Styela clava: one gene and its partners. The protein of the gene in region 3 binds, or shares a complex with, the protein of the main gene of each other region. Links are inferred from orthologs where the notes say so. Each region holds a gene or a part of one and is shown on either strand. Other genes may lie near its edges.

Region 1 (7,980 bases), on a different chromosome or scaffold from region 3:
CTTAACCGCTCCTGTGCCATTTTGCTGTTGAGCAGATGAAAATCCTATCAACCAAAAACAAACAGTTTGAGTTTCACATAAGATTAAGATAACTAGATCAGTGGTTCCTAACAGTTCTACCCTGGCGGGCCAGTAAAATTAAAATCAATATGCTTCTAGACAAAATAGTCACACTTAAAAACATTTCACACGAAGAAAAACTATCAAATAATATGCGGCCCAAAAATTGAAATGGGTGAAACATAAAATAAAATCATATATTTGAGTAATGAAATGCAGTGCTGGGCATCCATTATGCCTGAGGAAGGCACTTATAAAACATCACATATAAAAAGAACAAGTACATGCTTAATCATGTACAAACGCAATTAACTCTAGTGAGCACTTTGCTGCTGGGCTCAAAGAAGTTTCTGCAATACCTAGTTCTGCGGTTGATCGACGCCTCAAACAAAATGAATTTACATTACAATGACAAAGTTGTCGGTAACTTTGCACCAGGCTTAAAATACTGGAAAAGATCTTTGTGGCCTTTTTTTTTTGCGTGTCACATGACCACCTGCAGGGTCGCAACAAGTTCATATCTTGCTGAAATACTGTTTTTGACCGTTTTCTGGTTTAAACTGGCAAAAAAGCACCGGCGGTTGGGAACCACTGAACTAGATGAAACAGGAACTTCAAGTCAAAGTCAAATTTAAAATTTGATCTACAAGTACAAGATGAGGTGACAGACTCACAGTCATTCATGTGTTAAAATTATCATTTACATATAAAACTTTACAAGTATTATGGATAACGTACCAAAAAGGCCCCCTCCAGTAGTTGTGGATCCAAATGAGGATGTTCCACCTGTGCTACCAAACAATCCTCCAGTTTTTTGCTGGCCGAAAGCTGAACTTGTACTTCCAAAAGCAGAATTACCACCAAATGCACTTGTTCCACCTGTAGCTGCCGGTGTTCCAAACAAACCTCCAGGTTTGCTAGATGTTGGAGTTCCAAACAACCCACTACTTGTAGAAGACTGACTAGCTCCTCCAAAAGTGAAGCCTGGTGAAATAGAAACAGATTGATTATTCCCGAATGCTGAGGTGTCTGTGTTATGATCACTTTTCCCCCCTCTTTAATAACCAGCACCTCTCTAATATGTATAACATAATAATGCTTTGCCAAAGTATGAAAAATATTTTATGGAAAAACTTTATGGAAAAAGCTGATATCCTCCTAACTATTGTCAAATTATCACTTCACAAAGTTTCTTTAATAAGAATTTCGAGGAATAGGCGATACATTAGCATTTTACCAATTTCATTAGTCGAATACAATAGACTAATAAAGAAGACAGATAGATAGTTTTATTTCGAAAACTCCACAATCTGACAATACAAACGAATAAAAAATGAAGAATTCCGGAGAGCGAGCAAAACCTTTAAAAAAGTTTAAAATAAGATGAGTATCATGTGCCCGCTCACCAACACGCATTTACAAAAAAACACAAACTTTGTTGAACAAGGCTTGGGCAAGAAATAAACACACAAAATCCGCGAATGTAATGAACTTTCGGGCTGTTGTTTAATTTTAAAATACTCAAGCTAATAAGGACCAATTCAATCTGGTACATAGATAATGTGTGTATTTGTAATGTGATAAGGTGACGAGAAGGGTCAAAAACCATGAAAACTACATTGATTTGGCATTGGTGACAATGTGATACAGTGAATCAAGATACATATAAACAGATCAAAACAATACTGGTAAATTCATGCGCTCAAGCAATTATAAAAAGAAGTGATCGAAAATGGTCCTATAGTTTTATACATTGATTGAAGATATAATAAATGGCTGCCATTACAGCACTTGAGTGTGCTTAGTTTGAGACAGCATGCTCAACAAAATTATTAGACTTTTTGAAGTGTATCATAATACAGTAAAAAATTTTATACCGGTTTTATTTGCCCCAAATGCTGGCGTGCTTGTGCCAAACAAGCCACCTGATGTAGTTGATTTATTTCCAAATAGCCCTCCAGATGTGCTTGTACTTCCAAAACCTGAATTATTGGTTCCAAACCCTAAATTCGAAATATACTGCAATAAATAATCTGGGCAAGACAGCATGGTAATGCACATGCTTAATAATTTGAAAGCATAATAACCAAATATCAGCTGTTAGGAACTATGAGTTTTGAATCCTGAGGTATAAATAGAGTAGGGCACAGTTTTCTGATTCCAAGGTGTCCTAACATTTGCTTCAATAAAACAAAGAGTCTGGCACAATGGCAGATATGCCATGTTTATCTGATAATTATCTTAATTAATTATAGTCGCCATTGCCACGAAATGCGTTTTTTTTGCATAAGAATTCTCTAATGCTACTGTAAAATTTTTTTTGAAGAATTTAATGATAATGTTTTTCGATTGCACTTGTTTTTAGTTTATAGAACAGTGCCGGTTTGCGCATTTTTGCCGATAGGGAGGCCAAAAACTGTCTCGCAAAGGCAGGAATTGCACTTACTGCTATATTTGATGTCTTTCATTATGGGGGCTATTCTTGTAATTAGAGAGCTGAAATCAGTGTACTTAAATATGGCTATATTATTAGATACCATCTAAGGATGTTATTGAAATGCCATATAGAATACAGGAATGGGTAGTAGCTACACAAGCAGTGCACTGCTCTTCGAGCATAGTCTATTGTGCGAGCAGGTAATTATATCAATAAACCTGTGGATTTGTGACATAATTAACTTACCTCCTGAGCCAAAACCTGAAGATCCGAATCCTGACTTCTGACCAAACATCTCTACATTTATATGATTAATGGCTTGTGAAGAAATTATTGTTCACTTGAACTGTCACACTAAAAAACGTGGAGAAACACAAGAACGGGCAGAGACTTCCAGACTTTTCAATCTCAAACTATTGAACTTTTTTCTTTCACAGTTTTGATTAAAATATTTTGATATTGTTATCACCTAATACAGTAATACTTTAATACAGAAATAGGTTCTCCTGAGAGTGGAAGTGGTGACTCCTCTTCGGCCCATGGGCCGGGGCCACGGCCCATCAGGCTATGGGCCACGGCCCATCAAGTTGTGTAAAGGTAAACTATTCACTTGGCTAACACAGACAGTCCCCAAACTCATAATAGAACTATAATGTAACAAATCTGAACAAAATTATGCCCTAACTCTAACCTGGTACACATACTACAGGAGTTTATTTTTTGGTTCGAATATTGACAATTTTGTAAAAATTGAAAATTTTGGTAAGATAATTGAATTTTTCCTGACGGGGCCGCGGCCCATAGCTTGATGGGCCACGGCTCATGTGGCTCAATTAGATGGGCCGTGGCCCCGGCCCATGGGTCGTAGTGGAGTCACCACCCCTGTAGTCTCCTGAAGTATATGCCCACAAGTACCTAAGTAGGCCTGGCTCATCAATTTTTTGCATATGTCATTGCTGGGGCTGTCCATGCGAACCGAATATTCGAAATCGAATCGCAAATTATTCGAATCGTTTTACGGCTAATTTTCAAATCGCTAAAAATTAGGTACATAAAATTTTTCATCGTTCAAGCAGCGGCGCTTCGAGCTTAGACAACCTTCGCCCCTGGCATAATTGGTTTCCCGATATTTCTTACATGTCATATTACGATAAAAATGTGTCTCTCCTAATGCCCAGTGGCATGTGATTAGTTATTTCAAGCATGGTCATAACCTAAATGTTATTATCATTCATGACGATTTTGATAGAGAGTACATAGGGTGAAAAAGGCAATATAAGTATCAGATAGAAAAAAGATAGTTCTATAAATAGAATCAATTTGCAGCTGTCCAGTTATTAATCATAGGAACATGGTACAAGTGACTTAAAGCTGAAACAGGTATTGCGGGTTCTTTATGATGGCAAAACAGGGTTGTCCAAAACGAATCGAATATTCGAATGTATTCGAATATCAAAGTATTCGAATACCTTTTCAGCTCATTTTCGAATAATTCCGAATAATAGCCACTTTTCGCCGTAAACGTGGTGTTTCGTTTCACGGGAATCTTCAAACGACTTTTTAAGCTGTCTCACGTATTGTAATGACGATGAAATAGAATCCTCACTTTGATTATTTGGATTCTGTGCGACCGTACGTCGCAAAGTGTTGCGACACATTTGCACGTTTGCGTGGGTGGACATTGCCGACATTCGTCTACGAGGCTTTCAATTTACAAATTCATTTCCATTACCTCGAAAAATTGACAATTACCGTATTACATGATATTTAATCGCAGACCGGTTATCGTTACTTTAAAGAGAAACACGGCCACCGAGATAAAGTGATTTGTGACCCTTTCGTTTTGCCGATTCAGCAGAACACGACAGGGACAGGAAAACACAGCTGTGAAATAACCCGTGGACGTACAGTGTAGTACTTATCACATTTCAAAATTATTTCAACTTTCGGGTTAATAGGTTGTCCAAAATGATTGACGCTTTACAACTTAAATTTACCGCTCAATTGTTAAAAATAGTTAATTCTGTGAGTATGATTCTACCGAACTAACATGATCTGGTTCTGAACATATAAAATTGTTAGCGCGTATAAGCACAACTGAACAACAGGGACACAATTTTTCTACCCGTCTTATTGGAGGCCTATATGGAAAAACCCATTTTTTGAGTGTTAAAAATAGACATCGTCCTATTTGCCAAGTGGACTTATTTAGCCGGGAAATACGGTATTTATAGCCGTCATTGTTACGATATCCAATAAATTGTGACAAGTTGGAAAAACAAGTCGATTCATTAGAAAATAATTTCTGGCAAATAATTCTGATAACGATGGTTAAAAGTATCGATCTTTTACCAGGATGATTCTTTGTTGCGCAAAATAATCCAATCCATGACTGGTACCAGCATTTAAAATGTCATGTCGTATTAATTTAATTCTGCTTATCGTAACACATGGTTGTATCGACAATCTGTGGACATAAAATGTGTGGTAAACTGACCGATATTATTAAATATTGATTTCTATTTTTATATTGATAAAATAATGAAAGTATTAGTACCAAATACCACTGGTATTTGTGGACATGAAATACGTGGTAAACTGCCCAATTATAATCAATTTCGGATTCGTATTTAGAAAATAATAAAACTATTATATATAATTGTAAAATGCAACGGCGATCTGTGGCCTTAAAATGTGTGGTAAACTGCCCGATTTGTCAACTTTTGAGTTATGATGATAGAATTAAATTAACACGGTAAGGCATTTTGAATAGTGGTATCGGCCATTGATTCGAATATTTTGCGCAGCACAAAATCATCCTGGTAAAAATATGCATACCTTTTAAATACAAACCAATGGCAGCCATTATCCAAATTAGTTCCCAAGAGCGGGATAAAGTATAAAATTCTTTTTCCGACTTGTGACAATTTTTTCGTTATCAAAAACTAATTGTATTCGGCACAATATCTCTGCCATCTGTGGACATAAATTGTGTGGCAAACTCGCGATTAATATTAATTTTTGATTCCCATTATCGTATTTACAAAATACAACGGCGATCTGTGGACTTAGAATGTGTGGTAAACTACCCGAATATAAATAGTTTTTGATTCCTATTTTCATATTTATGAAATAATAAAAGTATTATTACTCGAACATACAACGGTGATCTGCGAACTTAAAATGTGTGGTAAAGTTCCTGAATATAATTAATTTTTGATTCGTATTTTTGTACTCACGAAAAATTGTCACCAGTCGGAAAAATAACTCATACTTTATCCCGCTTTTTGGCAAATAATTTGGATAATGGTTGGTATTTAAAAGTATGAGCGTTTTACTAGGATGATTTTGTGTTGCGCAAATATTCAAATCCATCATCGATACCACTATTGTCGTATTAATTTAATTCTGTTAACATGATTCATGGTATATATATAAAATATATACTGCAATAATCTGCAAATATGAAATGCCTGGTAATATATATAGCTAGGTTGTAACTTGTTGATAGCAGTTATTCCATTGCTTATTGTATGGAAATTCCTACATACATTTAGATAAGCTTCAATTAGTGGATTTTATTTTCGAAGTATTCGAAATTTCATATTCGAAAAAAATAATTTCGAATGTATTCGAAATAGTGAACTATTCGGTATTGGCCATCTTTGATGGCAATACCTTTTAGAAACAGAATGTGTAATTTCTCATGATGGCAATACTTTATAATTTGTATATGTATTTTCCATCCATTTACCAAGACATTGAACTCTTGCATTTTGATGGCTGTTGTACAGTAACAATGTTATAGTCATCAAACTAGCTCTGAATTTGTGATCTCCTTATATGCAACTTCGAATTTCTTGAACAACAGTATTATCTATATTAATGGTTGTTATCATTTTGCAGGAAATAACACACACAAAAAAAAACATAAGAGTAATGATAATAGGATTAAAATAGCATCTACAGGATTTGCATGTTCTGTTAAAACTGAATCCATTAGAATTGAGTAAATAAGGTATTGAGAGTTCAGCCTTAACACTCAACAGTTTTCAAAATCCTGATTTTGGAGACCTCTATTTGGACCAGTTTATAGAGGCAGGGGATCTCCTTTTATAACTCTAAAAACATAGTTATGCAAAATATCAGCAGTAAATTAGATTTAACTGGACATAAGTTATCACAATATCGAGAGGGAGTTTTTATTGAATAATAGAAACAGATTTAGGACTGCGCAATAATATTCAATTATTCGGTTCAATTCGACAAAAATATTCGATTCGAATCAAAAAAATATTCGATTTTGGACAGCCCTAGTCATTGCCAACCTTCAACTGCAGTACTGACTACGTCACTCGAAAATTACATCACTGCGAAGTTGCGCTGACATAATGTGGCCCTCCAAAGTAGAGACCCCAGACATACATTATTGAAAAGTACTGGTTATCGTATTTGACTCGCAAAACCAAAAAAAGCAGATTTGGCTTTGCAGACCAGTGCAAATGGATTACAGAATCGAACAGCACAGTGGTTCGCTTATGAATATACAGATATATCTACTTTCTATTTCTATGTACAAATATGAAATAGCGGATTGCTAAGATAAAGCATGTGAAAACAAGTTTTCCAATTATTATTTATCTACTATTTATGATATACAAATACACTATACCAGGGGTTCCCAAACCAGGGGTCGCGACCCCAAACCTCAAACTACACAGAAGTCATTTTCAGTAATAAATCTAATTCTAGATATGGGTGCACTTTTGAGTGAAAACATTCCACAAAAATTTATATTAATACCTGACCTACCACATAATCAATATTCAGATATTAGCGGTACGGAGACTTATAAGCAGATAATAGGGGCTTTTACCTTGTCGATAGCCAAAAATCTCTCCAACACGTTTTAAATGCAGTTATTTTGAATAAAACCCCAAGCCACAGAGTTATTTATCGGGGAGAAAAGGAGGCGCAGTTCTTACCACTCCATGGCAGCTCCTGCCACAAACGAACCGCGGCAGCTCTTGCCATGGTTTTATAGCGCTATTCTGTATTCAGTAATCAGTATTAACGGTATATTCACAAACTAATGTACCAAATTCTAATTGATCATGCGGAATTATATTTACTTAAACCCTAACCCTAACCCCAAATCCATCAAGACTGTATCCATAAGAAAAACGTTCCAACTTACCCAATATTTGTCACCATAAGGGACAGCCCTGTCCTTACGACCCACCTGCCGCGGTTACGGCAGCAAAATTTTACCTGCCATTGGTTTTCAATTTGCTGCCGCGGTAACGGCAGCTCGACATTGGTTTGTGGCAGCTAAAAAGTCAGTCGCCATAGGTTCGGCCGTAGCGGCCATGGTATGGAAATACCGCCATGGTTTTGCGGCTGCTGCAGACGCCATAGAATACTTAAAACTGCACTTGGAGAAAAGTCTTATTTTCGGAAAAACAAGGTACGGTAGGTGTAGT
Region 2 (7,702 bases), on a different chromosome or scaffold from region 3:
ACAAACGTTTTTCAAAGCATTTTGGTGGTAAGATAAAGATGCTTTAAAATCGATCAGCTGCACTTGGAAGTCTTCGATGTCCATCCATTCAAATACAAATAAGTTTAAGTCTTCGGTGCACTCGGGCTTGATGAGAAAAGAAAACAATGAATCAAATTGCTTAAAATCTCGAAATCTATTGGAAAACTGAAACGTTAGAGCCCCCATGTACCTCAATTGTATATCAATTTCAATTATATCAGAGAGAGAGAGATTTATTATTTGTCAACCAGAAAAACAAGTATTGCAACAGTAATAAAAATATACAATAATAAAGATGTTCGGTATAGACCGGGAGGAGCGATAAGACCATACGGTCATCAGAGTCAGCTCCCCCCATATTCACTATTTTATATTATGTATAATATTTTTTGCTTCCAGAGGGATGTCACAGTAATATATAAGAAGACAAGTGAATGATAAATAAAAAAGTAAATATTTATAATAGCAGTGGCGGCGCGTGGTCATTTTGACAACCGGGGCAAGCTACTGCGGGACCAAGTCACCCCCATCTACGGGGACAGGATGAGCGCTGTAAGTTCTCTCATCATTTTATGAGTATAAAAACCATTCCATCGGTAACAACCAATCGGCAAAAGCGACAATTTTTAACGATAAGAAAGTGTCTTTAAAACCGGTCCAAGTCAAGGGATTAATAAATATAGACATAGTTTATTTTGAAACCTATTTCAAAAGGAAAGGCAATATTTACCCAGATAAATACAATGACATATTAACAGAAACTTCGGGAAAGCAGACAAAACCTAAAATAAGGTTTAAAACGTTACTATGGAGAAAGGAAAGTTAATGCAAAGATAAGGACATGCGTCGCTCACTCATAGATATATATGCTGCTAGACTTCTACTGCTTGAACATATATGCAACACGCCGCGATTTCTTGGAAGCAAAATGCTCAATAACGCGTTGATTAAAGTCATGCATCTCAGAAATAACGTCTCTGTGAATGGATAAACAGCCAAGGAATTTAATCTATCTTGCTTCATTGTGTTTCTGAGATACGTTTTAATACGCTTCAACGTGCTGAATGTTCGCTCTGCGTCGGCGGAAGAAATAGGCGTCGTCAAAATGATGTCCAGAAATTTTGCAGACGCCGCAAAGGTAGTTACTAGAGTGTTATCTATGAGGAACCCATAAAGCGCGCAAGTTGATGTGATGTTCAAAAAAGTTTGATTGGTGTATATACATCGCAATTCATTTACCAATTTACCCACGTTTATCATGGGGTAAAATTTGGAGACAGTAGCCAACAAATGGATGGGAAATTGACGTGCAAATTTTGAAAAATTTTTGGGGTTCATCAAAGAGAACGCGGCAAGGTGTTCAGTGCGCAGACGATCGCCTATTTGATTCACCAGAATGTCACAGCATTCCTTTGCAGACAAAATCAAACGCTGCGTTGTTTGCCCGCGGCGTAAAGAAGCACTCCATGTGTCGTCGTATTTTATTGTATCCCGGATACGAGATACAGCATCGCAGAAGTTTGAAATACACGACTGCACAGACGCTCCATCCATTAGCCTTGACTGCAATGCGCCGTATAATACATCCACGTGATAGAATATTGTGGAGAAAAAAGCGAGAAAAAATGAAAACTCACCATCTTCTAGCAGACGCTTTAGACCTGCCGCCTCCCTCACAGAGCGTTCGTCCCAAACCGGAGAGCTCTGAATGCCATTGAAACACTCAATGAGCTCAGACCTAATTTCGGACACGCCCTGCACCACGCGTGATTGGAAGTTCCAACGTGTTGGTGCACAAGCTGGGAGACGGCGGCTACATATCTGGCGAAGGAGGTCAGAGCGCTTCGGCGAAACGGAAAAAAAATGAAGAAAACCCCGAAACATTTGCAAAAAATATACGGACGAGAGGGGTATCAAGACACATATTTTTAATAACGAGGTTAAATTGGTGTGCATAACAATGTAAAAAATGCGCATGAGGAAAATCTTCTTTTATATAAACTTGAACACCATGTTTCGACCCACTCATGACTGCCGCGCCGTCATAAGTTTGAGCTATCAATTTTGACTTCGCGTTGTAAGGCTGTAACACTTCTTTCAGTACAGCCGATATCTCGCAAGCCGTGCCATCAACGATTGGTACAAAGCTGTGAAATCTCTCGGTAGGTTTACCATCTTTCGCAAACCGAAAAATCACAGCCAGTTGGGAAACGCACATGATGTCAGTTGTCTCGTCAGACTGAATCGAAAGGAACTGGCAATTCTCAATTTCCAGAGCCAAATGTTGTAAATAAATTTTTAAACATTGAGTCGAGCTTTTTCATTATTGGTCAGTCCCTTATCAATTTTTATAATCCATATTGCCCACATATAGAGGCAGATGTCCCAGATTCGTATGGACTCAACGTAGGAAGAGAATGTAGCATTTTTCATCAGTATATACAATAATAATGATTTGGGACGTATAGATGCAAGTTTAAACGCAGAAAATTGGATGCAGCAATTCATATCAACATATACAATAGTTATGATATGGGATATAAATCCTTTAGATTGGATTAATAATATAAATGCAAGTTTGGTTTAACATAGAAAATGAATGCAGCAATTCATATCAACAATGAACGCACGCCTTCAACCTACAGCATAAATTGTTTAATTTTATAGGCCAGAACTAAACAATAAATTCAGGAGAATAACAACTTGATGGTCGATTGAAAAGGCCTTCAGGTGTTTGAAGTATCGAAAAGTTGCATTCTGGATGTCCCGTGTTTAGACATCCAGTCTAGATACAAATCCTTTCTATGCCTCAAAAAGACCCAACACCGTTTGCCCTGGACCCGGCAGACGAAGATTGAGTTCGCTAAGATGCGTGGTGATATCCGCGAGAAACATTAGTTTTACAAGCCAGTTTTCGTCCTCCAGTTCAGGGTAAGCCTTTCCTTGCCCTATCAAAAAGGCTCTTGTCTCAACTCGACATTCGATAAACTTCACGAGAACCTCACCGAGACTTAACCATCTGACACTGCTTCAGTGTTGTTGATCTGATGCACATCATGGTATGCACATTCCATCTCTTCAAGAAAAAATCGAAACTGTCTGTGTGTTGTAGCAGAGCGGGCGACCCTTACCACGATCAATCAACGATGAGCCACGCTGCCGCGCTATGTCCTTACTAAAATGGATATGTCCTTTCTAAAATCGCTATCTTCCTACTAAAATGGCCATTTTCCTACTGAAATAGCGTTGCACCTACTAAAATGGCTATATCCGCTACTGGTATGCCTCTACTAAAATAGCCTTGTTCTTTCTAGACCGCAATTCCGGTTTGCTTCTATTAAAACAGGGATGTCCTTACTAAAAATGCACGTACGCTATGTTCTTTCTATATGAACGTTTGTTCCTTCTAAATTGCGATTCCGATATGTTCCTACTAAAATGGCTATGTACGCTATGTCACAACTAAAATGGCTATGTTCCCTCTAAATCTAAATTCACGACCCCGATATGTCCCTACTAAATTGGCTATGTTCTTTTCGAAAAAAAAAATCCGCCATGTCCCTACAAAAATGGCATTGTGCGCTATGTCACTACTAAAATAACGATTTCCGCCCTTTACTTACTAGAATGGCTATGTCCGCTATGTCCCTATGAAATGGCTTTGTTCCTTCTGAAATGGCGATCCCGATATGTTCCTAGTTCCTACTAAAATGTCCGCTATGTTCCTATTAAAGTGATAAGAAGAACCCAATATTATCATGTTATTGAATTTGTCAAGTGAGAAAGATAGTATCACACTTTTTATGAAATCTTTCTGGAAGACAAAATTGCTTCCGATTTGCGTGTTTTTTTATTTGAGGAATAATATGACCACGTCAATATGGAAGAATATTACCTTATCGTCTTATTGATTTGATTGTAACGATGTGATAACGTTAGTACTCATTTGATGTTACTTGATTAAGGCGATGAATAGTGTGGCATTGGAACTTGAAACCCTAGTAGATTGAAACATTACTTACATTTTGTGGAATGACGTTATGTCAATATTGTTGTTCATATACGTACTATTGTTAAATCTAATTTCGCAAACCGGTGAGGATCTGAAAACTTGACGTTTCTGGCGTTTGTTTTTCTTTCAACGTCGAACGAATGGCCGTCGTGACAACGAGACATTTGTACGATTGGACTTTCTAAAACGGTTCAATCGGTTGATCAAACATGGTCTAGCAATTGATGAATGATAAAAGCAATTGTATTACATCGTCAGTTGTAAATATTAATTTGATATTGCGCTAACCCGTAAAAATGAAAGTTCACTTGAGAATTCATCAACAACTCTAGCGCGGGGCGGGTGCGCGCCAACCCGAATTTTATGAGAGTCTTTCTACTTATCTTAGAATTGGATTGTACGTTAAAACGTTAAAAAAGCAGTGCCAAGATAACGATTTTTGTTGTTGTGGAATGTGGATTGACCCAGAAATCCTTGTACTCAAACTTGGTCCTGAATATGTGAAAGGCCGCGACCGTGACTTGTTATTTATTTACACGCCGTTGATAATGCCACGCAGTGTTCCCATTGCGCTGTTGTAATGCAACCTCACTGTTCGTAATGCGATGTTCCTAATGCGCTACTCGTATGCTCAATTCTGCAGTTCTAGAAGTTTGCACTCAGTGTTGTATTATTACCGGTACCGTTTGTTTATAATCTTAGTTAATATTTCCTTACATATGATATTCCAGTATTTTGAAACGCACTTAATTTGACAGAAACTTAACTTACTTTAAAAATGACTGAAGAGGAAGAAGAAAATTTCCCACCAGAAATACAGAGACTTGTAAGTAGATGCTTAACTGTTTATAAGATGATAGATTGAATAAGTCGATTTATATTCAATTGTAGTCTATAAGTTGCAATGTCATATTACTGTTCTGTAACATGGAAAACTTGATACAAAATGTTTAATGATCTGTGATAGTCTACTGAGCGATATCGTATGAAAACTTCAATTTTAATGACCCTCAAATGATCACTAATATACTGATATAGCGCTTTTTGAAACAAACTGAAGTCGCTGGTTTTATCGCCACAATTCAGTATGGCTCAGATTCCAAGAATAGCCCTCGCATTAAAAGACATGAATTATAACAGTGAGTGCAAACCCTTTATATTGCGAGACAGTCTGGGCCTTCATACAGTCATATCGCCACAACTCAACTGCTCAATAAACTAAAAGGAAGCGCAATCTAAAAACGTCACATTTGATTCCTCTGAAAAAAATAATCCGATTCGATTCACCAAAGGAAAAATTTTTTGACCGAGGCGTGCCAAAAGCCCTCTTTTTAGCGACAAATGGAGAGTTTGTTTTATTGAACCAAAGTGTTGGGGCATCTTGAAATCAGAGAACTGTGCTCCTTGGTACCTCTGGTCTTTGTATCTCCATTTCTTGTAGGCCTAGTTTTATTGTTTTGTTTTTTATGCCAGAGCGATTAAAATTGAATTGAATATATCAAACTATTAAATGACGGTAGGCCTATAGTTTCTCTCAATAATATATAATTGAGATAACTTTTTTATTGCACAAATTATCATTTCAGCCAACTGAATTTTCATTTCGTGAACTGACAAACTTGAAAGCTTTTGTATCAGAAAGCCAACCTGAATATGCCACAACACGCACTGGCCTTCTTGCTGTTGCTAACATCTATGGATATGTCTTTATTGGAATGCCTGATGGCTTGAAGGTAGCTCATGTTGATTTCTGTGATGAATGATAAACATTGATGAAATAGTAAAATTTATTTATCTATGGAATATGTTTGCTTTTGTATCGGACTCAATTAAATGCTTGTAACGCACCTATGTTTATGCTGTCAATATTGGATAAATACCATAGTAAATTCCTCTGTATTATATTCTGGACTGTTAAGTTTAAACCAAACTTCAAACTCTTGGACATTAAAAAAGGAATTAGGATGTCAAAAGGACTTCAGCTTTCGATTCCAATATGAAGGAAAATTTGTCTCCCCTTGATGAGAAAAAATTTGGCTTATGCAAGCTTTCTTGTATTATATGTCGAGACGACTCAACTCCAGATTCCGACTCAAGGGAGGTATAAAATTAGACCCAAGCTCAGACTCCAATATCAATAAAAGCATCCCAAGCCGCCTGAATTCACAACCCTAAAATAGCTAAATGTTATTCACTATTTAGGTGCTGACCTCTGCTGACTTGCTTGAAGCTGGAAAGAAGAATTTGAATGTAATTGACTCAGCTGTTGCGACAATTGATCTGAGAAATCCACCAAACTGGATTGGAATAAACTCTGATAATCTCACTCTCTCTGTGTGCTGTAAAACTAGTAAAGGACCACAGATATTATTTTTTGATATCAGGAATATTATCAACAAGGTAAAATGAAATAAAGAAAATACTCTGATAGCATTGTTGTACATTAATATACAATGCAAAACAAAATGATATTATATTTTGATATCAGGAATATTATAAAGGCAAAACATAAATCAAGAAAAAACTTAGATGTTCATTTGTATACAAAAATGATGGTCGTATCGGAATATGGCAATACATTGCCCTCGTGGTTGAAACGTTAGACTCAACTGTGTTGGCATCGCAGATTACACATATCAGGTTTAATTTCTGAGCTTCCCACCACTCCCCAGTGTAATATAGTAGGGCCCACGATGCCGACTCGAAAACATTTCGGATCCTTCCAAATGAAACTTCTTGCATATCGTGAGATATCAGTGGCCGTTTGTATATTACCTTGTTCAGAGGGAAAAATGTGAATCAGCAGTCTTTTTAAAATTCATATTCTGGTAGATGCTAATTTGTTAATGTCTAGTTACCAAAGTGGTGTTAGGAGAGATTTTGTGCAGAAGAGATATTCTCTTAACGAATTTATATAAATACTTTTGCTTTTTAATATAAATTTATATTATGATTGTTATTTCTAAAGTAGCAGGCATTCACTCATTAGAATTTACCTTATTTTTTTAATTTTTATGATAAAATGTACTCAAAGCTCAGAAGTAATAAAGACACATCAGCAAAGTTAACTGAAATGCTGAGGGCTACTGAAAAAATATAGAATAATGGTGGTGCTTATGATCAAGAAAATGTTGATTGACATAAGACTTGAAGTACTTAGTGGTCAATACAATCAGTAATACAGCTATGAGATAATGTTTTTTACATAAAGGAAGTTCTTACTACATACTGATCTTGTATGCACCACCGATCAGAGTTATGCGAGAATAAGCCGACCCCTTTTTTCAGCAACTTTTGAGTTTCAAACTCTGATTATATGCGAGGATATATGGTAAATAAATTTAATATTGTCCATATTCTGGGCTTACACCGAATTACAGTTCTCATTTTCTATCTCTTACAGTCAAAACCTACCAAGACTCCATTTCATAGTATATATTTGAACAAGGATCCAAACTCATATGTGGTTAGTATGCAATGGAATCCTTCACCTGTTTGGCCAAATCTCCTTGCTATGTAAGTAATGTAATATTTTTATTTATTCTGTTTTGTTAAAAAACATAATTTGAGCATATATTTTGACCAGTCTATTTGATTATTATGTTATTTAAATCACACTTTCATATTAATTATAATTTTAGATTGTTTATAATTTTTTAATCAACAATG
Region 3 (7,660 bases):
TACAGAAGAAAATTGAGAAAAAAAAAATTTCTAGAGGCTTCAATCACCTTCTTTCTACTACTGAAAATTTAAAACAAATCGGCCCATTAGTTTTGAAAAAATAAATTTTTTTTTTGCAAAACGATCTATTATATACACTTATTTCCCGCTAATGAAACTCAATGTACCTGAAGTGTTTGTTCTTTGACTAGCTTGCATTGATGAAGAACAACCACTCGATGAGGCCACTGATGCATTGTCTGGAAAATTAAGAAAATTTGGTCAATGTGAATTCTATAATAAAATGATTTTATAAGGTTTTCGTCAACATAACATTCCATGCTACGAAGTGCAATCGTTTGTAAGTTTCAGCATTGACTATCCGTCTATCTTAGCCGAGCCTATTAAATTCTAGCAAGTTTCAAGCCTGTATACAGGCTAAATTGAATGATTGAAAATACATTGGTAAAATATTATAATAGTGACAGTTTCCATTATTCAAAATTAGTTTCCAGTAAAAACTGTTCGCTGCAGAAATGATAGAGATACTCTTGATTATATCGTTAGGATTTCAGAATTCTGTTTTGTATTACGAGCCTAAACCAAATGATACGGTTTTATAAAAAAAAATCATTCCATAAAAAAATTGACAAATCATGATATTACTGAAAATTTTGGGGAAAAAGGTTGAAAACTATTAAATTAATTCTTAAAAAAATGTCTTTTTTGGGTAATAATATCAGGCATGGAAAAAGTACAGGATTCTCCAGGCCTGATATATCTGCAATAATAATTTGAAAATTTCATAAAAAAAAAAAAAAAAAATTCATATATACCATTAGCAGAAAGATATTTCATTTCTTTTCTCAAAAAAGAAGATTCGCTTTCGATTGGAGATTCTGAATCAATTTTCACTCGTTTGCTGCTCATGGTGTTAAGATGCTTTAAAAGGTCCTCTTTTCCTGCTTTTCTACTACCGCCACTCCGCGAGAGTGAGGTAGATGCTGAGGGAGTGAGATTTTGCTGAGAAACAGGCGGCGTCTGTGAAATGAAGTGAATTAGATAATAAGAAAGCAATGGCGTATATCGCGAGTGCAGAATTCTAAAAAAAAAGAAACTAAACCGAAATTATTGCCTCAGATATTACGTTAAATAAAAAATCATTATACTCGTATTTAAAAACTAAATACGAGTATCAAACAATGTAGGCTGATCATCATAGGCAAAATTAATTTGAGCTGGGCAGCAATATCCCTATCCAAAAAGTAGGATTATACGATTTGTATCATACCAAATCATTATTTTTACACGTTCCACTCTAACAGAGTTCTGTATAAGCAGCCATTCAAAAATAAAGAACTACCAGATTAGGAAAGATCCTTGTCAGTTTCGTGTAACTCCAAATTCACTCAGATTTTTAGTAATAGACCGAGCTAGGCTAGAATAATAGATTGACCAGTTCTCAAAAAACAGATCATTGTACCAAAATGCCATACAGATAGACACAATTTAGTGTAATGACAATGATGGAAAATTTTTAATCAAAATAATAGTATCACATTCTTGTAAATATGATAAATTTAGAATTTTTTCATTTTTCCATAATATGTATAGTATTTTTAGCATTAGCATATTGGGATTATGTTCTTTATTTACGGTATTTCCTGAATATTATAAAGGAAACCATACTGAAATGATTCAGCATTAAAATGAATTATATGACCTAACCAAAATTAGAAAATCAAGCATGAAAAATACAAAGGACACACAGTATGAATCACATACATTTTATGGTACACCAATGTATAATTTGATTGGTCGAATTTTTTCAAAAAATGGATTTATATTTTGTGAGAAACTCAAAATTATCTCAAACAGCAACAGTGTGCCATAACACACAATTTGGAAACCACTGGTGTAGTAAGTAACCCATAAGACATGTGGCTACGGCTGTTTCATTTCGGCGCAGTTAATCACAAAATATATGCCTATATGCTTAGTAATTAATTAAAACTTCGGCACTTACGTCAGGTGGAGTTACAAAACACTGCACAGACGACGATGATATTTTCGAAGAGAACAAAGGTGGTCGTGGTTGTATAGGTGATCCCCGATTGGAATTGGTACAACTGTGTGTTTCCTGGTGATTAGAGGAGGTCGAAGGACGATCATCACGATCAACTGTAATATAAAAAAATGTGAGAAAAGGGCAAAATATTGAATGGTTGAAAGGAAAATTTTCAGCCAAGAATCTGAAATGAATCATAAGGCAAAAAGAGCCATCTATTATCTATCCACAATCAAATAAGGGCCATCTTCAGATAATCCATTTTTGACTAAAGTAAAATCAACCTATTTCTCGAAAATGTACATTCCATGAATAGTCAGATCACCAGAATTGGGAACGAAAATAGTCACATTAGAACGATTTTTTCATACCTTGATTTTGCCTTGTTGAAGGAGATCCTTGATCATCTGTTTCATGGTTCATTCGATTCGTGAGCCATTTTGGCGTAAAAGGATTCAAAAGATTTTTGAATGTATCCGTAACACGACTGAATAAAGTCTAGAAAGAGAGAACATGATACGATTAAGTTACTAACCTTCAAAGAATTTATTTTATATGCACCCTAGACAAAGTCGTCGCACGAACATATTATAGTATGCCATATTGAAACTCCCAGTATAAACTAGTATTTAAAATGTACAAAAATTTATTTTGAAGGAGTTTGCAATAATTGATTTTCTTATTATTATAAAGCTTTTCGCAACTCAATTAATTTTAAAGGTCTAGAATGCCTGTACAAACAAACAGGAGTTAAATAACCTTTTTCTGAGATGAAGCTCGGCTGTATGGTTTCCTGGACGAAGCTGCACGTCTTGAACGGATCTTACCACCCCCTGTGTTGGGAATATCCGCCATCGTGCAGCTAAGCTAAACAAAGTACTTAGCTACAAATCAGTTACAATGTCGATAATATTTATCGCCACAAATGCTAGGATAAACAATAATTTATAATAATATGAACCTGGAAATATATAGTAGATAATAAGATTTGAATTTGTCATAATTTATATTTTGCAAAGGGTAGTGAAACGACTCGAATCCAGTACTGCACAATTCTCCGATCCTGAGAATAGCAGACATCGATTATAACAGTGAATGCAACCCCCTCATTTACGAAATAGTTTGGGGCTCCATATCGGGACAAATCAGCACTGAGCAATAAACTAAAAAGTGCAATCTAAAATGTCACCATTGGATTCCTCGGGGAAAAATGATCATATTCTCCGAAAGAAAATACATTATTATCGAGACAAAAAGGGCATGATCTGCCGCCATGCCAGATGCCCTTCGGTCTCACTACTTACTGAATAGAGCGCAGAAGAGAGGGAAAGAGCGCGAAACAGCGCAGAAGAGATGGAAACATTTTTCTTTTGTTATTTATTAGTGTCTATGAAATTTTAAACAATTTGATGGGAAGCAGCATACAGTAGTAGGGAATGATCACGAGTATACACAGTATGTGTACCAGGTTAGGGTGCGTCATGAAGTATGTGCATCAAGATGACGCACAACCTGAACACAGTATGTGTACCAGGTTAGGGTGCGTCATGTTTGGTTATTTAAAGATGTTGAAGATTACTGATATAAACTCGTGATCATTCCCTACCACTATATAGTGTTTCCCATCAAATTGTTTAAAATTTCACGACTGTTAATAAATAATGAAAGAAAAATGTTCCCATCTCTCCTGCGCTCTTTCCCTCTCTCCTGGGCTCTTTCCCTCTCTTCTGCGCTGTTTCGCGCTCTATTCAGTAAGTAGTGAGAACCGGTGCCCTTGTTCCAGCGACAAATAGCAGAATAGAGTGCTTGTTTTACTGAGACACATCTTGGAATAGAAGACCCGTGCCTTACAGACAAACACTTGCTTTTTGAGATTTTCACTCATGTTACACCCTATTATCATTTTCTTGAAAAATGGAGCATTTGTTTTGTATATCCAAATACAGTACTGCAGTAGGGCACAATTCTCCAATTCCGAGATGTCCCGGCATTTGGTTCAATGAAACACTGTTTTTGTCTCTTAAACGAAGGCGTCGGGCACCATGCTTGTTTCGATAATAAGTATAAGTATATTTTGATTTTCCCGCAAAAAAAGCATACACAAAACATAAACAATGAACACACAGAAGATTGAGAAAATCGGGTAAACTGGCAAAACCTTTATAAAGGTTTAATACATGTAAATATACATGCGCCAGTTTACCCACATTCAACACACATACATATATTCAAAATATTAAACAGCATTGAGCGAACAAAAACAAAATTAAACAGGCAAACAAACAAAAATCGAAACCAAAAATAATATATCTAAGTTAAGTATTTTGAAACAAACAATAACTTTATATATCCTCTTCCAGACCTAATTTTTCAGAAGTTACTGCACTGCCAGACTGTGTGAATTCAGTAGGTAATCCTGTAATCAGTGACTGACTGAAGTTTTCATACAATTGAATACTGATCAGCTGGAGGAATAGGATTTTAGTGGGGATTTTTACAAGCTCTGTGGCGTCTATAATACAGGCACCGCACCTTACATCATACTACACTGTACTAGTCAGTCTATTTTTTCTTTCCAACAGTTTAAAGTAAATCCGATCCTAAATCCTTAGTAGTGAAAAATATAGTTAACTACACAAATGTTCTAATGTTACATAAGATAATAATATTCAACGTTTTTCAATCAATTCATAACTCGTTTACAACCTGTCATATTCAGTAAAGATAATAGTAAATTGAGAAAGCGTTTCGTACCACAGTACCACGAGAAGGCATCTACCACACACAGGGACGGCCCGATCTCAAGAATATGGCACAAGGTATAGCCCGCCATTTCATTGGTTAAGATTAATCACGTGATGATCCATGACCTTCTATCGTCTGACGTTTTATCGCAAAATGAAATCTTGCGATATGAAAACATATTGTTTTTGTTTTATAAAAGTAATAAAAAACTAAAAAAATTTAAGTTTCTACGTCTAAAAGAACTACTGTAGTGGACTCTTTTTATATCCAAACTGGACTGGTAGCTAGGCTGAAATTATCGGTCCGCAATTCGATTGGATTGTCTTATTGGTATTTCTCTTTTGTATACTATTAAATTTACATTATCATTTTATTTTCATTAAAAAATCTTAACGAGGTATCTAATTAAAACTAATTAAATTTGAAATAATTTCAACATCTTTTTTTTCCGGGTTTTAGTACGACTTTAAAAACAGCCACGTGACAAATAGAACGCAAAAACTCTTTTCCGTCAATCGGTCCATTCTTCGATTGATCCGCTTTTTTTTATCTAAAAATATGTCTGGTGATGCCAAAACCGCGCAGGGAGTAGTTAGATTCTTTAATGACGACAAAGGATACGGTTTTATATGTATAGATCAAGAAAATAATACGGATGTTTTCGTTCACCATAGCACAATTGATATGAAAGGCCGAAGGACGCTTATACAAGACCAGCCATGCGAAGTTGAATATTACAGCGAAGAGAGGGGGCTGAAGGCGAAGTCTGTGAGACCAGACTTGAAATGGGCATTGGAAAACAAGGACAAAGGCGACTATGGTGATGATAGACGGGGCGGTGGTGGCTACGGTGGAGGAGGTAGAAACAACGATCGTGGGTATGGAGGTGGCCGCAACGATGGATATGGTGGGGGTGATAGATATGATGGTGGTGGTGGCGGATATCGCAGTGGTTATGGAGGAGGCGGCGGTGGCGGGTATGGTGGTGGAAGAGGCGGATATGGTGGTGGAGGGGGTGGATACCACGGTGGTGGAGGTGGATATAGCCACCATTAGCTTCCAAAGCTAAGTTGTGACTTTTGATGTTTTTAGCGAGTAGGTAGGGTTCGGTTTCCACCCAACTGCCAGAAGAAAGCAGGCACCTACTACATTGATATCCTCACAATCCTCTGCTTGTGCAAACAGATTCAATACCATGATATGCCCTGCATTTTACATCAAATTTTGCGACTCAAAACAATTCAAACTTATCTCTAAATTTGTACATTTTATTATGATATTGTGTGTGTAAATTGTCCCAATGCTGCACAAAAATTCTAATACTTGGTTATGTGTTTTGATTTGGCAAATGTGAATAATATTTCAAAGACTTTCCAAGGTTTTCAGGCGTTGTAACTTGCCGAAATTAAACAGTAATAATTGTGTGTGAATCAGTATTTTTAGTGAAATTAATTTCAAACATTCATCATATGTAAGTTATCATACGGTCATGTTTTGCAATCATTCTAGTCTGCTTACCATTTTGTCTAGTATCATATTTTATTATAACTGCAGTTGAAGTAGTGCAATGCACAATTAACATCAAAGGAACGAAAACTTTCCAAATATGGTCAATCCGTATCAATATTTTTGTTGCTTCTAATATTCTTGCCAATATTAAGCATAGCAGTATCGATTTAATGATTGACTATCTTGTATTAACTACCAGTGTTAATTTACAAGTAGGATCACCTCATTTCATTTTTAAATCTGCCAATATTATATTATGTAATTTATTGCGCCTTTTGTGCAATTCTTTGCTTGCTCACACTGACAATTTTTTAATCCATGACTGAATAGCAATATTGTGTTTCATCTCCAGATATCAGAATCACCATTTTTTACAATAATTGTTTGTCTGCGTCTTTTATTCTATGGTTATATGATAATGGGTTTCAAGTGAAAGACAGTATTCTATAAAGCGGTAGGCCTATCTATATGCGTTGGAAAAATCGTTTTAAATTGGTAAATCAAGATGAGAATTAACATAGCAACTAGACATCTGTCAATTTTTTCACATAGCATTATCTTCATCCTTAATTTTGAATGTTTAAAGATGTGTTTCTGATTTTGAAATTTTGTTTATGACTCGCTGTGAAGTGAATTACTGATTTTGGCTGTCCAAAGTTCAGTTAGGTCATTGAATTCTTTGGAAGGAAATTAACATGAGATAAAATAGTTTGAGATGACCACTAAAACAATATTTTTTAAACGAGTAACAACTAGATTTGTTCGTAGTATCTGATTGTGTTAAAATTTGAGAGGGAGTGATCACTTTTTTGTGGCTTTGGGGCCAGGCCACTGAAATGGGGCCAGGCCACTGAAATGGGGCCAGGCCACGGAGAAATTGGGGCCAGGCCACGGAGAAATTTGGGCCAGGCCACAGAGAAATTGAGGCCGGGCCACGGAGAAATCGGGGCCAGGCCAGGCCATGGTGCTATGCAGTAATACGGAGCCACACTCAAATTCTGGTATGAAAAGTGGATTAGTCCTATTTTTTGTGTGTTCAACAGGTTAGTAATGATCTTGAAGGTACAGACAAACCTTATTAGTGAAAATAATACGCTTGAATCACATTTAACCGAGAATTTATTGCCTGGAAATACTGGATAGAAAATGGAGCCACAGACTTGAGCAGTGCAGTATCATGGAGCCACACTCAAATTCGTTTTGAGAAGTGGATTAGTCTTATTCCTTGTGTGTTTAACAGGTTAGTGATGATCTTGAAGGTACAGGCAAACCTAATTAGTGAAAAGAATACGCTTGAATCACATTTAACCGAGAATTTACTGCCTGGAAATACAGGATAGAAAATGGAGCCACAGACTA
Region 4 (8,014 bases), on a different chromosome or scaffold from region 3:
TACACTGTAATGTTGTCATATGTTGAGTGAAGCCAGATGGAGTTTTAGGTTCAAGAAGATTTCTCGTTGCATCAAGTTCGAAATTTTCATCAGAAATGTCAAGCTAAAAATAACTCTTGAATATTAATATTCTTCAGAATTTTTCTGTACAGAAACTACAGATGATGAAATATAACAGAAATCTTGTACAAGACTATTAGCCATGTGTCAAAATGCTATAAATTTAACCAAATAACAAAAGAAAGAATTTATTCCAAAGGGGAACATTTCAAATTAACTGATTTATATTAGTTTTCAATTGAAAGAAGCATAACAACAAATATTATTATTAATGATAGTACCAAATTACACGATTGGGTTAATTAGGTTCTTGCATATACATATGTCAACATAACAAAAATATTTACTGGTAAATTTTGAAGACCAAACTACTCACAATTTGTGAACTGTAAAATGCCGAATTTACTTTAGACAAATTAGTATGATATACTACAGCAATTGAAAAAAATATATATTTCACTCAGTTTGCACTTCTCAGCCAAGATGGGATTTGGTTTAATCAATAAATATTAGAAGAAAATGAGTTGGAAAAGTTTGGTATAATTTACAAACAGATACGCAAAAATATCGACACCTCAAAACCAAACAGTGCTAAGTCCACTTTTCCAAAAAATGACATTTTTCAATTGCTGATTTTCCTGGACTTAGCTCTACATTTTGGTCTATTTGCCTTATCTCTAGGTGCTCTAGATCTCAAGACAGCTATGGACATAACCCTGCTTTTTTTAGGGCATTTGAGAACTAAACAGACCTGTGTCTACTATAGTGGACTTAGCTCTGGATAACTGCATTGTAAGTTGGGGCTAAGTCCGTTTTTTGGACATAGCTCCTCTCAAAAAATATAATACAAAGCGCTAAGTCCGTTTTTTGGACATAGCTCCTCTCAAAAAATATAATACAAAGCGCTAAGTCCATACCAGCCTCTATAATAACATAATAAAGGGGCCCTAAGTCCAATAAAATTGTTTTTGGTCCAGAAAATTGAGAGCCAAAAAGGGTTAAGTCCAAAAAAAAACCCCAAAAAAAATTGGGGCGGAGCACAAATTTTTTTATACCATCTAAATATGGCCTTCATTGTAACTTTGGTGGACCATAAAAACTAGACATCCTCAATGTAAGGTATTAGAGAAATAAAAAAATGAAACAAAAAAAAAAACGTTTTTCTCAAAACTAGAAAAATGGACTTAGCCCAATTTGGATTTCATGCGTCGATATGCTTTAGAAAGTCACATACACATAATCTCACCATGGAATATTCTGCTTCTTGTCTGGCCATCATTGTTCTAGGAAATTGCTGACTGGTAAAATCATAATTTGTCATTCCTGCAAGCATTCAAACTTTATTTTTAAGTGAACTAGATTCAAGACAACAAAAGTTCTATTCTTCGGGTTTCTGTGAAACTGATTACTTACTTATCCTACTTTTATTGAGCTAATAGATTAGTATCTCCATAATGTAAGAGTGCTAATGTGCAACATGTTCTTGAATCACATAGAATAGCTTGCAAATTGATGATAGATGATAAACAAATTTTTTTAAGATAATTCTATGTAAATGTGCACACAACCCTTATCATGATTATACCCTTAGAAACAAGTAGATTAGAGATTATAATTTGGCATAATTTTGTGGCTAGTTACAATGTGTATGGTTTCCAAAACTTAATAACAAAGTCTAGCAAATTATAAAATGCCAATATAGAAGTAGCGACCTGAAGAATAATTTAATATTATTCAATTCAATTCATCTCATAGAAATACCTCGGCTATTTGAGCTAGGTCCAGAAATTGGAGTAATTGCTTCAAGAAACGCAGGATTCTCTTGAACTATACTCTCATCCAGTTGTTGAAGACCTGAAAGTTAAAACTTGTATTAAGTTTATAATTAAGCAAGCATTTATATGCCAAGTAAGCACACTCCAAAGTTTTCCTCTTTTATCCACCAAAAATGGGATAGCCACCCAGTCCACAACAAATCATGAAAGAAACTAATGTTGACTGTATATCTGAAGATACTTGTTATATCTGATTTGCATTTATTACTTTGGTTCAGTAATACACCTAGTGCTGCTTAATTTTTTACCAAAGGATGACAAAAAATCTGATATAGAGGGGAGTGAAGAGGAATACCTCATAATCAAGTTTTAAAAAATTATATTCTGAAAATACTTTGATATTGTTGTGGTGTCATCCTTGATCTTCTTTGCATACTTCTTGCGTCTCTCATTGTTGATGGTGAATTAATCAATCCACTTGCGTTCAAACCTCGAGTTCTGAAACATAAGAGATAAGCATATGCATTTAGGATACCGAGACTATCACAGAATATTGAACACCTTAGGAAGAAACTTATTTTCAATTTTAGGAAATTACTTGGAAGACGTATCAAAAAAGGGCTATTATATCTTGCTGGCATGTCTGTCCAACAGAGCACTTAATGCACAAACGAGAATATCGGTCGGAGACCGAAGACTTATCAATCGAAAATGCGGTTTCGATTCACGACTCTATAGTGACACAGCGTGTCCCATCACTAATTAATTAATAACTCGCTAATTATAGGACATAATTCATCCAAAATCAATAGGCTTCTGGTCCGAGGTATGATGAATGCACATGCAATTTGGAGCAGATTCAACCTCGCCTTCGTGAGATATCGCGTTCATCTAACAGACAAACAAACATACGGACAGACAAATACCTATCAACATACTTAACGATCTTAAGATCGATAAGTAAAAACTGAACAATCACCAACATTGAAGTAAATTTTATTATTGAAGTAATAAAAATAATATAGGTGTGAAAAAAACATTGGCAACAATTTATTCGCTTACCTACGACTACCAATATATGATCCATTCCTTTCATCCATGTTTTGAAAAAATGTTTGAAGAATTTTGAAGTGTCCCAATAACAATTAATATTTAAATCTATGTTCTGAAATAACCGAAAATAATGAAAAACTTACGATAGTGAAAAAGGCACAGTCTTAGAATGAAAATCGGCAGTGAGAGAAATAAAGCAGTGATGGAACAACAACTGGGCATATCAAAATACCAGAAAGAAAGTGGCCAAATATTCAAGTACAAAACATATAGAATTGACCTTAGCAACAAAATGATATGAAATAATCAGTTGTGTCCAATGTTGTCCAAGAGTCAGGGGTAACACCTTTTAAGTTCTAATAATTTTTTTGATTCTCAGTACACATACAACTTATGAGCATTCCATTGGCTGATCAGAAACTTGAGCACTAGCAAATTCTGTTGGTAAACAGGTCTGGTCACGAGGTGGAATTTGAAGTTGTTCAATCATTTTAATACACGTCAATGCTTCACCAGTTTTCTTGTGTTTTCCTTCTAATGTTTCAGTTTCCGGTTCACTTTCAGTGTCTCTCTCATCTCCACTGGAATACTCAATATCAGTGAGGGTACCCCCTTCCATGGGGTCGAAATATTCATCTTCGTCAGATTTATATTCCTTATCCATATCTTCATCTAATATTGTAGCTGTTCTGTAGTATTTGAAAGAATCTTTACCTTCTTTTTTATCAGAATCTTTGTCCTCCTGCTTTTCATTACTGACTTCTTCTTCTTCTTCATTTTCACTATCTTCTGCTTTCATTTTAGCTTGTAATTCCTTTCGCCGCTGTTCATCATTCTCATATTTTAGTTGGAGGAACTTCTGACCTCCGAGTTCAATTAATTTTACATCGACCCCAACTTCTTCTTCTCCACTTGAGCAAGAATCTTCTTCCTCATTTTCGTCAACTTCTTCATTAGGAATAAAATCTTCAGAATTATCGTCTGCTTCAAAGTTAGTTTCTGCAAATTCCTCTTCTTCCCCATCACTTTGAGAATCTGCAGTCAGTTCCTCCGTCTTCTCAACTTTTTCTTCAACATGTTCATCCACTTTCTTCTCAGGAGCAATGGTGGCAGTTACATTTTCGCTTTGTACATCAGACATGATTTATTATGATTGGTTTATGGTTATGAAGTACAAATTTATAGACACTATAACTGAGCATATGAAACGAAAGAAGATCAGGATGATCAAAGCGAAATTGTTTTAAAAATTACCACCATACCAAGATCATGAATATTCAAATAGTGAGAATCAAAAACCATGAGTCTAATAATCAAACAAAAAATGATAGAACTATATCAAGAGAAACTTTTCATGTTTTTTATTCATTTTCAGCTATTTACAAAATTAAAATATGCTGGTTTGGAAGTATTTTATCTGAAGCATGATGCAGAAATAGTTTTTATTAGTGCATCTGTAATAAAAAACTAGAATTTGGGTTTAGTCAAGTAAACATGTTTGAATTTACCTACTTTCAATGTTCATTACAGCTTTTTGCATAGCCTATGTTCAGATGTTGGATATAAAAAAATAGTTTAACATTTACAATCAGAGACCACACACGCTGAACATCTGAGACTGAAAGAGTAGGCTTATTTGTAAAAAGGACTGGACTACTGCTTTGGCCGACAGAGGTTCAAGCTTCGAAAACCGGCTGCGACATTGCATTCGCAAAGGTCAAAGATCAATTAATCAGCGACCAAGTTCATCAGAAAGTTCTGTGTTAATGTACAATTGTGAGTATCGAGATACAGGTTACAAAAAAACTTGTGTTTGGAGGATAGACTCGTATAGTTGTTAATTGACATGGGTTTTGGTGAGCTTGTGGGAAGATGATGAAAGATACGTGTTATCAATAATTAGGCAGTTTATAATAGGACCTATTCGAATTTGTCAGCAGTGTATATTACAGACGATGGGTACTGAAAGTCGGAGAGTGGTGTGGTTCTTAAACTCTGAAACTAGTCACTGATTGCATGCCCAATTTCTGTATTTCTCATGGAAAACGCCATAAAATCCGGACTGGATCAGAATAAATCAATCAATGACTACTGCAATATTAGAATATTCAGAACAGAAATACAAAATCTACAAACAAATAGGCCTACTTGGGTGAGTTTGGCGAGTAAAGCTTAGCTAACTATGAATTAAGTTGAAAAGTAGTCTAAATCAATATCCGGAAATTAATGAAAACTATGAACAGTGGTCAGTAGTGCATTAAACTAAAAGCAATCAGATAAGTATAGGTATTTCGGGTCTGGTATAGTTCAGTACCACATGTACTTCTACTTGGCCTGGCTCAACAATTTTTGCATATGTCAATCCTAACCCCCACCTGACTACGCCATTGAAAAAATACGTCATTCCGACGTCACAGTGCTGTAATAAGGCCCACCAAAGTATGCGGATGGTTGTCCAAAGCGCGCAGACAATCATCCAAAATCGAGCAACCATTTCTCTCGTTTCTCGTCACAACGATCACGATAGGAGAGAGATTGTCAGCGTTGGCGAGTTGGCGCTGATGCCATTTCGGGCGATGGGAATTTTACTTTGTCAGGCCCTATGGCGTGATAGTGACGTAATTTTTGGATGGCATAGTCAGGTGGGGGTTAGGAATAACATATGCAAAATTCGTTATAATACGTCCACCGGAAGTATTTGTGGTATTAAACTATACTAGACCCTTCATTTCAACTCCATAATCAGCATAACAATAAAATAATTGCAAAAAAAAAAAAAATGATTATGAAGATGAAGTGAGAGTTTATCACTAGAATCAATCAATCAATCATTTTATTTCGGCTCTCTGACTAAAACGGGACAATACAAAAAAGTAAACAGACAACAAATACAGAGATACCTGGAAGGCGAGCATAACTTAAAATAAAGTTAAAAAACGTACAAGTACGAGCCCACCCACCAAAAAATAAAATAGGAATAATACGAGTATACAAAAAATATGGACACGATTCAAAATCGGGCAGTGCTTATAACTCAATTTAAAATGATAAAAGCCAAATAATTGTTTGAATCAGTGAATAATTTACATGGAGTAAAATAAGAGTTGCGCTTGAAATAAGACAGCAAGATTCAAGTAGATAAAACTAAATGTAATAGAATCCCAACCACCTCCTCCGTTTCTGATAAATGTTTCAAATGTTCTTATACGATTATGGTAGCTGAGAAATCGCCAGGATTCTGGGATTAGCCTTGCAGTAAATATATATAAATAAAGCTGATCTCTCTCGAATTCTGTAAATTTTGAGTCTGAGATTCCTATATAGCATAGAAATATACAAGTCAAAATTTATGGGAGATACCGGTATCGCTTGCTGTCAGAAATGCAAAAAATCACCAAAAAACTATCAAATGTGCAAGACAGATAAATAAATAGGCTACATGTTTGAAAAGCAGCATGAAGTTTTGAATCATTAATATCGTGTTGACTCAGTCACTACCTCAATACATGTCCAGTATCATTACTTCAGCTCGAAAGGGACAACTGTAAAACCTGAATGAGGGAAAGTTTTCTAGGGAAACGGTAACCAGATGCCACGTCCATTCCAGTGACCCACACGCGCGCGAAAACAGTGGGGATTTCCCTTGTTTTATCATAGCTTCACCCTTGGCTTCACCTAACGGTCAATTTGTCGCGCTCAAGATATGGACCTTCCCCCGACCTTTGATCACCGAAAAATTCTTCCTGTACTTTACCATTGCAAAATTTTCGGGGCTATTTTAAGAGTGCTTCTGCGAGTTGACGCCTGTAAAATGGGGTGTGTTTTTCAACCCATCATTACGATTCATCGCATACAACAATCCGTTTTTTAAAAGTACCGGTGAAGAAATTTAGCCTAGTCTTTCACAGCTATTTCTACACTAATTTTTCCATACTGCAATTAAATTAAAACTCCTAGGAAGACAGAGTGATCATTGAATTATCTGATTTATATTTAAGTTTCCGAAACAAAACTGAAAACCAACGATGAGAGTTCAAAAACGAGGTAATGTTTACGACCACGCTTGAAAATCTGTCTGAGCAATGACATTAAACAACATGATAGGCAACTCTGACGTCACTCCATAAGACTACATGCGAAAGATTGTATTTCATGATACGCTCCAATGCACATATTTCTCGTCGCCTTTCGCGACCGTTTTCCGCTTGCTTTTGCTAACCGGCGTCCTCTTTACGTTTAGTACCTGCCTTTTTGCGCCTGTAACGAAAGAAAATAATCTCTATATCTAAGAAGTTTTGCTCACTTGGAAAGCTGGAATGACATACAAGCTGTAAAGAGTAATTCTGGACATCATAGACTTTTTTTTATCAGAGAAGATTACAAACGCGATAGAGTAAAGATTTGTGTGGGACATTTTGCAGATAATGACAAAGTTCAAAGTTAGTAATTTTAAAGTTTGCGCTTAAACATTGAAATTTCATTTAAAGAGGGTGTCATACAAAACAGCAAAACTGTTTTTACTTCTCTTAACGATGCTGTGATACAATTCCATAACACAAAGTTTGCACCTATCGAACTTGCTTTAGTAGGTGAATTTATTAGACATTATTAGACAAATTTATTGTGAGGAATTTCGCATGTAATTCTCATTGATTGGTGGCTGTTTATAATTCCTATTAATTGTGAATTCTGATTATAACAAAGAATTTACTGGCACCTTTTTCTTGTCAATACTCCAAGCTGAGGTAATGAACAAGACAATACATTTATGTCATCTGGAAGCAAAATATGCAGACTAATTAAGAGTTTGACACATTGAGATAATACATCATTACAGAAAATACAAGTTAAAGATATGTATGACCATCACATGGTAATTGAAATTTAAAAAAAAATTAATAGGGGCTGTGGAGTATAAAAAATTCAAGACAAAGAAAAGAACAAAAGTTCATAGCCCATGAACTCTCAATTTTGCCCCCATTGCTTTGTGAAGGCCAATATATTCCCAGTGGCTGAATTGGTTTACCTTTATGATAGCAACGATTTCGTATTTAATACGGCAAATTTAATTGAAGTGATATTATTTCCCAAAGCAATGCTTGAATTGTCTAGAATAGATCAGTGGT

The links.
Region 1: uncharacterized protein LOC120333756 (region 3) and nuclear pore complex protein Nup98-Nup96-like share a complex: the UniProt entries of both Drosophila melanogaster proteins name them as parts of the nuclear pore complex. The link is inferred for Styela clava from reciprocal best matches to the Drosophila melanogaster genes Nup153 and Nup98-96.
Region 2: uncharacterized protein LOC120333756 (region 3) and nuclear pore complex protein Nup214-like share a complex: the UniProt entries of both Drosophila melanogaster proteins name them as parts of the nuclear pore complex. The link is inferred for Styela clava from reciprocal best matches to the Drosophila melanogaster genes Nup153 and Nup214.
Region 4: uncharacterized protein LOC120333756 (region 3) and nuclear pore complex protein Nup107-like share a complex: the UniProt entries of both Drosophila melanogaster proteins name them as parts of the nuclear pore complex. The link is inferred for Styela clava from reciprocal best matches to the Drosophila melanogaster genes Nup153 and Nup107.

The regions. Positions count from the first base shown.
Region 1 is NC_135250.1:14,540,220-14,548,199, reverse strand, and holds the start of nuclear pore complex protein Nup98-Nup96-like, read right to left. Parts: upstream 3,001-7,980; 5' UTR 2,793-3,000; coding exon 2,744-2,792; intron 2,064-2,743; coding exon 1,938-2,063; intron 1,045-1,937; coding exon 799-1,044; intron 45-798; coding exon 1-44. UniProt on the Drosophila melanogaster protein: Part of the nuclear pore complex (NPC). Required for MAD import as part of the Nup107-160 complex and required for nuclear export of Moe probably via its association with Rae1. Plays a role in nuclear mRNA export.
Region 2 is NC_135255.1:11,062,800-11,070,501, forward strand, and holds the start of nuclear pore complex protein Nup214-like, read left to right. Parts: upstream 1-4,700; 5' UTR 4,701-4,811; coding exon 4,812-4,859; intron 4,860-5,619; coding exon 5,620-5,766; intron 5,767-6,235; coding exon 6,236-6,433; intron 6,434-7,436; coding exon 7,437-7,549; intron 7,550-7,702. UniProt on the Drosophila melanogaster protein: Part of the nuclear pore complex. Serves as a docking site in the receptor-mediated import of substrates across the nuclear pore complex including emb, RanGAP and phosphorylated Mad. Protects mbo/Nup88 from proteasomal degradation at the nuclear pore.
Region 3 is NC_135264.1:10,611,587-10,619,246, forward strand, and holds the start of uncharacterized protein LOC120333756, read right to left. Parts: upstream 3,005-7,660; 5' UTR 2,903-3,004; coding exon 2,807-2,902; intron 2,546-2,806; coding exon 2,419-2,545; intron 2,161-2,418; coding exon 2,006-2,160; intron 1,021-2,005; coding exon 816-1,020; intron 240-815; coding exon 168-239; intron 1-167. UniProt on the Drosophila melanogaster protein: Component of the nuclear pore complex (NPC), a complex required for the trafficking across the nuclear envelope. Functions as a scaffolding element in the nuclear phase of the NPC.
Region 4 is NC_135258.1:21,257,822-21,265,835, forward strand, and holds the start of nuclear pore complex protein Nup107-like, read right to left. Parts: upstream 3,006-8,014; 5' UTR 2,936-3,005; coding exon 2,898-2,935; intron 2,334-2,897; coding exon 2,230-2,333; intron 1,915-2,229; coding exon 1,822-1,914; intron 1,384-1,821; coding exon 1,307-1,383; intron 104-1,306; coding exon 1-103. Other genes in the region: uncharacterized protein LOC144427178, read right to left, coding at 3,280-4,029. UniProt on the Drosophila melanogaster protein: Plays a role in nuclear pore complex (NPC) assembly and maintenance. Required for nuclear import of Mad. Mediates the association between the nuclear pore complex and a subset of active chromatin regions adjacent to lamin-associated domains.